Oryctolagus cuniculus: one gene and its partners. The protein of the gene in region 2 purifies or fractionates together with the protein of the main gene of each other region. This does not show direct contact. Links are inferred from orthologs where the notes say so. Each region holds a gene or a part of one and is shown on either strand. Other genes may lie near its edges.

Region 1 (2,810 bases), on a different chromosome or scaffold from region 2:
CAGGAGAGCCAGGACTTGAACCAGCACCCCAATATGAGACATGTGCATCCCAAGCAGAGCTTAACCTGCTGTGCTTCCAGGCCCACCCCTTAAGCCACTTTCTTCATAAAACACTTAGAATTCTTTGTTTTCTGTACTGAAGCCTGACTCATCCCTGCAAGTGCGGCTTTCAGAGCTGGCCGCCATGGTGGCCTCCTCTGATCTGGCCCCAGTGTCCTACAGCAGGGTCTAAGTGAGACAATTCCAACAACCCCACCCCGCTGGCGACCCAGTTAGCTCCTGATAAAGGCACAAGCCTCCTCTTCCAGCCCTGCTGAGCTAGGTCCTCCCATCACACACCCCGCCGGTTCTTCCCAGCCCAAGCCCGGTGCTGCCGGTTAGGTGTGGCTTCAGAGTTCAGCCTGGTGAGAGCTCCCAGCTGTGGCTGGTCCAGCCCCACCGTCCCCTGTGTCCACACGAGGCAACCTGCGAGACAGCGCTGTTTACAATCACCAACACCGACGGAGGGGGGACATCCGAGCCATCGTCACTTTATGTTTCCAGGGGAGGCTGGCTTCTGGCTTCTGACCTGTGCCAGGCTTTCTTCTGACAAACACGGAGAAGCACAGAGGCAGCAGCCACGCTGCGCAGTCTACGTCATCCTCCTGCGCTTCGCCTGGAGGTCTGAGGCCTGGGCCGGTGGCAGCGGGACGCTCAGAGTGCCCACCCTGCGATCCTCTTCCCTGCCGGCTGCCACGCACACCTTCTTCTTGGAGATCTTCAGTCTCATGGCCTTGGCGATCTCCATCATCCTAAGACACAGAACAAGTCGGGAGAGAACCTTCAGGATCACTTTGAGAGCCACTGGCCGGAGAGCAGCCTTGAGGACAGTGTCCACAGGTGGAGGTGCACGAGCCCCCTCCCACCCCTCAAAGCCAGCAGACAGACAATTTCATTTCACTGTGCTGTGAGAAAGTATCCAGAGGCTGGAGCCAGCGCCATGGCATAGCAGGTAGAGCTGCCGCCAGTGACGATGGCATCCTGTGTGAGTGCCAGTTTGAGTCCCGGCTGTTCTATTTCTGATCCAGCTCCTGCTAATGGCCTGGGAAGCAGTGGGAGATGAATAAGTGCTAGGGCCCCTGCACCCACGTGGCAGACCCGGAAGAAGCTCCTGGCCTCGGCCTGGCCCAGCACTGGCCACTGTGGCCATCTGGGGAGTGAACCAGCAGATGGAAGATCTCTGTCTGTCTCTAACTCTTTGAAATAAATAATAAATCTTGTTTTTAAAAAAAAAGGAGGAGCGGGCCAGCGCTGAGGCGTAGAGGGTTAAGTTGCCGCCTGCAGCACCGGCATCCCATATGGGCACGGGTTGGAATCCTGGTTGCTCCATTTCCGATCCAGCTCCCTGCTAATGGGTCTGGGAAAGCAGGGAAGATGGCCCAAGTCCTTGGGCCCCTGCACCCACGTAGGAGACCTGGAAGAAGCTCCTGGCTCCTGGCTTCAGACTGGCCCAGCTCCAGCCATTGCGGCCATCTGGGGAGTTAACCAGCAGATAGAAGATTCTCTTTGCCTCTCCCTCTCTCTAACTCCATGTGGAAGAAACTATTGCCAGGTGAAGGAAAACCAGGCTCTCTAGATCCAGATCCTCCCTTTCTTTACCAACAGCAACCTGGAGAGCAAGCGGGACGGGGCTGGGGCGGCTGCTGGAATGCACCAGGCGCCAGGCCCTGCTCCCGCTGGTCTTTCAGCCTCGCTGCCGTGGGCATGCTGCCCAGGGCTGGCCCTCAGAACCCCGTCATCAACTGCTGGAGGAGGGGAGGCAGGGCTGTTACAGAAGCCAACTGACCGCACCTGTGAGGACCCAGGAAGCCTGCCCGCCCCCCACATGATCGGAGAGGCCGTGTCACCCAGCTCCCCCGTCTGCTCCGAGAAGCTCAGCCGTGACACCCCTGCACAGGCTCTGCCTTGCCTTGGACCCCTCCCCGCGGCCCCCTCCATCTGAAGGGGAAGCTCTCGCTAAGCTACAGCTGGGCTGTCAGAACCACATGGACGGAACGCCGCCTCAGAGAACGGGAGCCTGCTCGGACCTGCAGGGACGGAACGCCCTGGAAGGCTCCGGTTTGAGGCTCAACGACTCCCTGTGGGCTGCAAGGCCCTCAGAAAGTCAGGCCCTCCTCTGACCCTCACGCGGCTCAGTTGATTTTAGGGAAACTGGTGAGATGATCGGACAGATTCTAACCCTGCGCCTCGTGGAGAAGGCGCTTGGCAGTGCCTGAGGGCTCACTCGCCTGCGGCGTTGCCAGGCCTCCCCCCAGGCCTCCCCCGCTCCGACACAGGCGGCCGCCCCGCCCCGCCCCGCGGCTCACTGCTCTCCATCGCTCACCTTCTCTCACTGAGCTTCAGGTCCCTCTGCAGTACGGTCAGGTCAACCTGGAAGTCGTTTATGTGCAAAGCAAGTATGATCACATACGCCGTGATCTTGGCCTTCATAGAATTCGAAATCAAGTTCCGTAAACTGCAACATCAATGGCAAGAAAGGAGAAATAAAATTAAACTCTAGGACAATTTCTCAGAGCCGGGGCCCCTACGTGCTGACGCGCTTCCTAACTCCAGGAAAGGAAAGGAATCCGGCCGGCACCGCCTGTGCCTCCCCCGGCGAGGGGTGCGGGCAGGGCAGAGGGAGTGAGCCCACACTTGCCGCTGGCAGCGCCCCAGCCTGGCCCCGCCACTCAGCAGGGCTGCGGGCAAAACAGCCATCCCAAACCCAGCGGCTGCCGATTCTCCCACGCGCACGAAGGAGCAGGCAGCGCGCCAGGCACAGGGCAGGGGGG
Region 2 (4,223 bases):
AAGAGAGCGCACGGCGGGGAGGGCAAGGCAAAGTTACTCACTGGGAAAGCGCGGCTGCCCGGGGCGCGCAGGGGCTCCCGGCGCCGCAGCCAGGCGCCAGCTCCCGCTCTCCGCGGCCCGCCGAGGGAGCCGGGAGTCGGCCAGGCTCCGCTCCTCCGGGAATCGCCGCCGCCGCAGTCGCGGGTTTCCCGGCAAGAAGCAAACTCTGGCCAAGACTTCACTTCTCAACCGCCCCTGCTGCCTTCCCGGGGGCGAGCGCCGGGCTGAGCGGCCCAACCCGACACGCTGCTGGGCCAATCGGCGGCGCCACAGGGCGGGGAGGGGGCGGATCAGAGGCGGATCCACCTATCAGAGAACGCAGGGGGCGGACCAGGAGGGGCCGTCATTCCTAGGTTAGAGTGAACCTACTCCGTCCCTCGCCCCTCGCCCTCCCCCACCCGCCTGGGGCTGTCCCCGCCGCTCGCCTGATTCCTCTGTGGAAGGCGCTCGGCAAGTGTGTGAGCGAGCGCCGGGCAGCCGCGGGGACAGCGGGACAGCTGAGCAGGGGACGCACGGAGCGGGGTGGGGGGAGGTCGAGGGGAACAGGTGGCGCGGGAGAGCAGGCGTGTAGGTGTGCTGGGCGAGAGGACAGCCGGGGTAGAGGGCAGCGACCGGGGCTGGCCGGCGTTAGAGAGGTTGCGGGAGCCGGGGGTGAGCAGCGGGGAGCAGCACTGAACACTCCCAGAGAGGAAGGGGCCGGAGAGGGAACCCCGCCGAGGAAAGGCTGCCGAAGCGGGGTAGGGGACGCCTGGGAACAAAGATGAGAGGGAGGTTCCCCGGGGGTGGGGTGCAGAAGGGGTAAAGAAAAGGGTGGAAGGGAGGTGCATGGCCGGGGGAAGGAAAGGACGGGGTGGGTGAGTGTGCTCCCAAACTCCCACTTCTCCCCTAAGGAAAACGGTAAACGCTTGTCCTGTGTCCCGGGGGAGATGCTTAGCTGCAAGAACCCCACTGAGTACTGTCTTGAAGCACCACGTTCTGTTAACGAGACTCAGCCCCTCCTATTTAAGGACGGTATAGCCCAAGCCTGCGGTCCCACAAGAGGTTGGATTCCCGGGAGGCCACAGGGTTCCAGTCGAGTCTAGCAGGCCGGACTTGGGTCCCAAGAAGGGAGGTGATGTGGGGGCGGCAGGTAAGGCCCTGCCCCCTTCGCCACCAGTTGGGGAGACGGTACCAAAGGTGGAGCTCGGGCGCACGCACTGTGACCGGGGCCTCCGGGTGCGACGCCAGCGGGCCCTCCGCCGCCCTCCTCCCGGCTCGCCCCGCACGCCGCCAGGCTGGGGGCGCGCCAGGTGAGCGGCTCGGGCCCGGCGCCACCGCCCTCCTCGCGCCGGGGGCGGGGCCGGGGGCGGAGCCTCCACGTCCCGCCCAGCGCCCGGACCCTGCCGCGCCGCTGCGGCTCCTCCTCCCTCCTTCCGTCGCCGCCTTCTTCCGTCCGTCGTTCCTTCCTTCCTGCCTCAGCCGCTCAGCTCGCGGCATGGGGCAGAGCCTCCGATCGGCCAGCACCACCTGAGGATCCTGGAACCGGCACCCGCGATGGAGGACGACCAAGAGCTGGAGAGGTAACGGCCGAGAAGGCGGGCGGGGCGGGCGGAGTAGGCCGCGCCCAGGCAGGGGAGCGGGCGGTACCGGGCACGCGGCCCGGCCCGGGCCTAACCTCCGCGGCCCTGCAGAGCAGCAGGGGCCCGACCCGGGACGCTGAGAGAGGGAACAGGGCCCGACGGGGAGGAGAAGGGAGGAGTCGTGGATGTGTTTGAATAGAGGCGCTCCGAGGGACAGTAGTTCTCGAGGAGGGCGGACCAGTTGGCAGAGCAGAGTTGGGTCCCGAAACTGCCCAACCCCGTTAGAACAGCGGCGTATTCAGTCCGGCTTAAGCCCCCCCGTCACTACCGCTCTCCCTCCTCCTCCGTGCAGACTGTTAGCCGTGTAGCCCTGCCTCAAAGCGCTGAGTTCTGTTTCTCCCTCCCGCTGTACTGTTTCAGCTCTTACCGTTTCCTAGCTTCCTTACCTCTTGCAAGTGGAAGCCATAGTTGGGCCTGCACATTGATAATCTGTAGTCTCTGTTTATATGCTGGAGCAATCTTGTGTTTTTCTACACCTTCAACTCCCTTTTCCTCTTCCAGCAGGGCTCACCCTATGCTATATCCCTTTCTTGTGACTCTTCCAAAAGAAATGTCTTTGCAGACACTTAAGTGTATGTTTTTCTAAGAAGATGCTCCGTGTGGCCCACGTGGATAGTTAATGGAGCAGGGAGAAACTGGAGTCAGCAAATTAAATATTCATTGGTAGAAGTGGTGGAGGCAGAAAAGAGAGAGGCTGACAGTTCTGTGTGTAATTGCTGTGGATTAGAGTAATGATGTGTGGCAATTGTGATATAGTAAATGAAAAAAAAAGCTAGTTACAATATTCAGTATGATCTCACTTTTATAAAAAATATGTGTGTAGAAAAATGTCTGGATTGAAGACCTCAATGGCCGAAGGCGAGAGGAAGACAGCCCTGGAAATGGTCCAGGCAGCTGGAACAGATAGACACTGTGTGACATTTGTTTTGCACGAGGAGGACCATACCCTAGGAAATTCTCTGCGTTACATGATTATGAAGAACCCGGAAGTGGAATTTTGTGGTTACACTACGACCCATCCTTCAGAGAGCAAAATTAATTTGCGCATTCAGACTCGAGGTGCTCTTCCAGCTGTTGAGCCATTTCAGAGAGGGCTGAATGAGCTCATGAATGTCTGCCAACATGTGCTTGACAAGTTTGAGGCCAGCATAAAGCACTATAAGGATCAAAAAGCAAGCAGAAGTGAATCCACATTCTAGTCCCTTGTGCAGGATACAAGGAGGACTAATCTCTGGGATACTCTTCTTCATGATTGTGCAGAACCCAGAATTAGAAGTTTGTGATTACAACAACCTGCTCTATCTTTCCAAAAAAAAAAAAAAAAAATGGTTCTAGCTGTTGACCCATTCATCACAGCTGTTGGAATCCCCGCAAGAACCTGTGTATTCTCCTAATAAATTCCCTCTTTTATTGAAACTATTTTTGAGTGGTTTCTGTTCCTTGCAACATCCTCAAGGATGACTTTATTTGCTTGCAGTAGAGCCAACATTTAAAGTGATAAAACAGAGCATCAGGCACCCAAAATAGTGGTTTCATCATGGGAATCAAAAGGAGTATACATTCCTGACTAGGATTGGGGTGGTGAGGCAAAGAGGAGATGGAATAGACCATTACGCAGATAGACTGGTGGGTTTCAAAAAGAAAGAAGGTCAGGATGTGGACTTGGCTTCTTAGATATTTTACTGATGAGAAAGTTGTATCCTTTTCTCTTAGGGGATTGGGTAAGGTTAGGGAATAATTTGAAAGAATTTTGAGAATTCTGGTTTCACATGAGGGTCTCAGGAGTTATCCAGCTCCATCTTTGTACCATCTATAGAATAATTGTTTACTGCCTGAGGAGAAACCTGGAATGAGCAAATTACATTTTTAGTCTAAGTAGGTATCCAACTGTAGCCTAGGGTCATATAGAAGAAACACTATTTGAGAGAAAGGACACAGAGGGAAAATACCATGTGGAGAAAATGACTTGGAAAACTTGAAATATTAGTGAAATCACATCCAAGAGCCATTGTATCTGTCTACATCTTCAACATCTTTCATACCAGTCATACCAGAACTTCCTTCTTCAATTATCCTAAATACCTGTCAACCCTAGAGCCTGAGCACTCCCATATCCCAATGCACTGTGCTTTGGGGCCTTAGTTGATCCTATTTATTCGTGTGATCCTGGGACCTAGCACAACACTGGACAGCAGGTGGACACTTAGTAAATATGAGATGAATCCCTGTAGGTAGTTATGGCATGTTAGCTTTTCAGTAACTCTTAGTTGAGCTGCCCTAGAGCCTCTTTAAAGATATTTATTTATAGAGCTTCTGGTTTGTACCTTGGGGATAGGTATAATAGTGAGACACAATAAGTGTTGCATAAGAGAAACAATATTTTTAAAAAGTTGTAATTCTGGGGAAGAAAATACAATATCAAGATAGAAAGCATGAGAGAGAATTTTGCTTTAGGTATGGAAGTCAGGGAAGCTCTTCCCAAGATTACAGGAAGAGAAGGCTCTCATGATGGAAATTAACATTGTGAGGGAATAGCATGTACAGAGGCCCTGAAGCAGAAAACTA
Region 3 (2,817 bases), on a different chromosome or scaffold from region 2:
CGAGGGTCTCCTCCCCTCAGCAGAGAGAACAGAGCGAGGGTCTCATCACCCCCCAGCAGAGAGAACAGAGCGAGGGTCTCCCCCCAGCAGAGAGAAGACAGCGAGGGTCTCCTCCCCCCCAGCAGCGCACAGGAGGGTCTCCTCCCCCCCAGCAGAGCGCACAGTGAGGGTCTCCCCCCAGCAGAGCACACAGCGAGGGTCCCCCCCCCAGCAGAGCGCACAGCGAGGGTCTCCCCCCAGCAGAGAGAAGACAGCGAGGGTCTCCTCCCCTGAGCAGTGCACAGCGAGGGTCTCCTCCCCCGAGCAGAGCACACAGTGAGGGTCTCCTCTTCGCCCACGAGGACTCTCTGGCCCCCGATGACTTCATCCACCGACGGACGATGTTCCTGGCACCCTGGCCCTGCCCTCAGGAGGGCTCGCTCTCTGCCACACCAGCGAAGACCCTAGGACACACAGCTCACATTCCTTGCCAGGAGTCCACCCTGGGGACCGGCACAGCTGGGCCAGCGCAGCCCTAGTCCCTCCAGCGGTGCCCGCACTGGGGGCTGCAGCACTTGTAGAAGGTGGTCATGGGCTCGTCTGCAGAGCGCGTCTGAAGCTGCATGAAGTAAGCACGAGGATGTTCGCACTTGGGACACGGCTCTGCAAAGGAGAAAAACCAACCAGGGAACCACATTACATAAAATGACGCTGGTGGGGCCAGCATGGCGGCACAGTGGGGGGCCACCGCCTGCGACACTGGCATCCTATGTGGGCGCTGGTTAGAGTCCCGGATGCTCCACTCCGGATCCAGCTCCCTGCTAGTGCAGGGCAAGAGCAGCAGAGGACGGCCCAAGTACCTGGGCACTGCCACCTGTGCAGGAGACCCAGGCACTGGCCTCAGCCTGGCCAGCCTTGGCCATCACAGACATCTGGGGAATTAACCAGCAGTTGGAGGGTCTCCTTCTCTCCTACCCTGTCATCTTGCCTTCCAAATAAATCTTATCTTTAAAAAAGAGTTATTTGTTTATTTGAAAGAGTTAGAGAGAAAAGGAGAGACAGACGTCCACCTGTTGGTTCATCCCCAAATGGCTACAACAGACAGGGCTGGGCCAGGCCAAAGCCAGGAGCTTCATCTGGGTCTCCCAAGTGGGAGCAGGGGCCCAAGGACCTGTGCCATCACCCGCAGCTTTTCTCAGGTCATTTGCAGGGAGCTGGAAGCGAAGTGAAGCAACTGAACTTGAACCGGCGCCCATCTGGGAAGCTGGTGCTGCAGGGGCAGCTTAACCTGCTGGGCCACAGCGCTGACCCCAAACAGATAAATCTTCACAAAAACGATGCTGGTGAGGGACACTTCGTAAGATCACTAAGGACACTACCAACAGAGGCTCCACTCCCACCAAGCTCGAACACTGAAGGGACAGGTGAACCTGTGCCCTGTGAAACACTCCTCCCGTCCTGGGACCCTGCGTCTCTCCCATCTGGCTGGAGACTGATTAGAGAAGTAACTTGGAAGGGGGCTATCTCCACGGTTGGTGCTGCTGTAACAAACTGCTGGAGACTGAGTAATGGGGAGAGGCTCAAACAGCTTTGAAGTAAGTACTGAAAAGCCTGTGTAAGAGAATTTCAAAGAGCTCATAGAAAATGAAACTAACAGTTTCCAGTCCATGCATAGTTTCTAAAAGATTTACGGATCTATTTGAAAGGCAGAGTGACCTCTGATGAAGGAAGAGAAAGAAGCCAAGTCTGATTAATATCAGACGCCCTGGTTAATATCAGACGCCTGTCTCCCTTCTCGTGCAATCCACAGGAATAATTTACCAACTACTGTTTAAATGCACGTTTTTCAGTAGCTCTAGAAACTTTTTTTTTTTTTTTTTTTGACAGGCAGAGTGGACAGTGAGAGAGAGAGACAGAGAGAAAGGTCTTCCTTTTGCCACTGGTTCACCCTCCCATGGCCGCCGCGGCCAGCGGTGCACCGCGCCTATCTGAAGGCAGGAGCCAGGTGCTTCTCCTGGTCTCCCATGGGGTGCAGGGCCCAAGCACCTGGGCCATCCTCCACTGCACTCCCGGGCCACAGCAGAGAGCTGGCCTGGAAGAAGGGCAACCGGGACAGAATCCGGCGCCCCAACCGGGACTAGAACCTGGTGTGCCGGTGCCGCTAGGTGGAGGATTAGCCTAGTGAGCCGCGGCACTGGCCAAGTGTAAATAATTTTTAAGAGGTGAAATCACTTGCTGGTTGTTTGTTTTTTGATACAACCAGAAAATAGTAGCATTATAATAATACAGACAGACAGACAGACAACACAGTCCATCATGGGAGGCTTCGGCTGTCGTGGCCGTCAGCTTGACACTCCACAGGTGGGGGTGGCTTTTATATCCTACAACACATACTAAACGGCAAAGGTGCATTTCATCTGTCCTGACAGAAAACCACCCGGCGTTGCTGTCAGACCACGTGTGCTCTGTCAATCTCTGGCTGTGGGGGTCCACTTTCCCTAGTGGTTTAGTTCACGTTTTTGAGTCTGTCACATACAGGATGTTACCCTGTAAAGGGCGGGATTTATGTCACATCAACGCTTGAAGATGCTGGTGCTTGATGGGAAGAGCTGCCTCCAAATTTGAAGCTGGAAATGACTGGAGTGACTTTTGAAAACAGAACGAAAATTCAGGCTTCCTAGATTCTGCCTTGCATGTTAAGAACTGTGTAAAAATGAAAATGTCTGCGTTGATTCTCAACACCAGTGAAATCTCAGTTAACAAGCAGAAGGCCGAGACCTTCCTTCTGCGCTTCACTCTCCAGACGGCAAGAGCAGGAGCCGGTCAGGTCCCACCCGG

The links. The genes of interacting proteins can lie anywhere in the genome.
Region 1: the proteins of POLR1D (region 2) and POLR1E purify together in Homo sapiens (affinity purification with mass spectrometry; 3 studies listed by BioGRID and IntAct, with this or other methods). This does not show direct contact. The link is inferred for Oryctolagus cuniculus from reciprocal best matches to the Homo sapiens genes POLR1D and POLR1E.
Region 3: the proteins of POLR1D (region 2) and POLR3K purify together in Homo sapiens (affinity purification with mass spectrometry; 3 studies listed by BioGRID and IntAct, with this or other methods). This does not show direct contact. The link is inferred for Oryctolagus cuniculus from reciprocal best matches to the Homo sapiens genes POLR1D and POLR3K.

Annotation. Positions count from the first base shown.
Region 1 is NC_091432.1:200,304,051-200,306,860, reverse strand, and holds the end of POLR1E (DNA-directed RNA polymerase I subunit RPA49), read right to left. Parts: intron 2,495-2,810; coding exon 2,363-2,494; intron 792-2,362; coding exon 632-791; 3' UTR 515-631; downstream 1-514. UniProt on the Homo sapiens protein: Component of RNA polymerase I (Pol I), a DNA-dependent RNA polymerase which synthesizes ribosomal RNA precursors using the four ribonucleoside triphosphates as substrates.
Region 2 is NC_091440.1:86,895,493-86,899,715, reverse strand, and holds the start of POLR1D (protein POLR1D), read left to right. Parts: upstream 1-1,419; 5' UTR 1,420-1,572; coding exon 1,573-1,598; intron 1,599-4,223.
Region 3 is NC_091450.1:34,577,107-34,579,923, reverse strand, and holds the end of POLR3K (DNA-directed RNA polymerase III subunit RPC10), read right to left. Parts: intron 643-2,817; coding exon 515-642; downstream 1-514. UniProt on the Homo sapiens protein: Core component of RNA polymerase III (Pol III) which synthesizes small non-coding RNAs using the four ribonucleoside triphosphates as substrates. Can mediate Pol I proofreading of the nascent RNA transcript.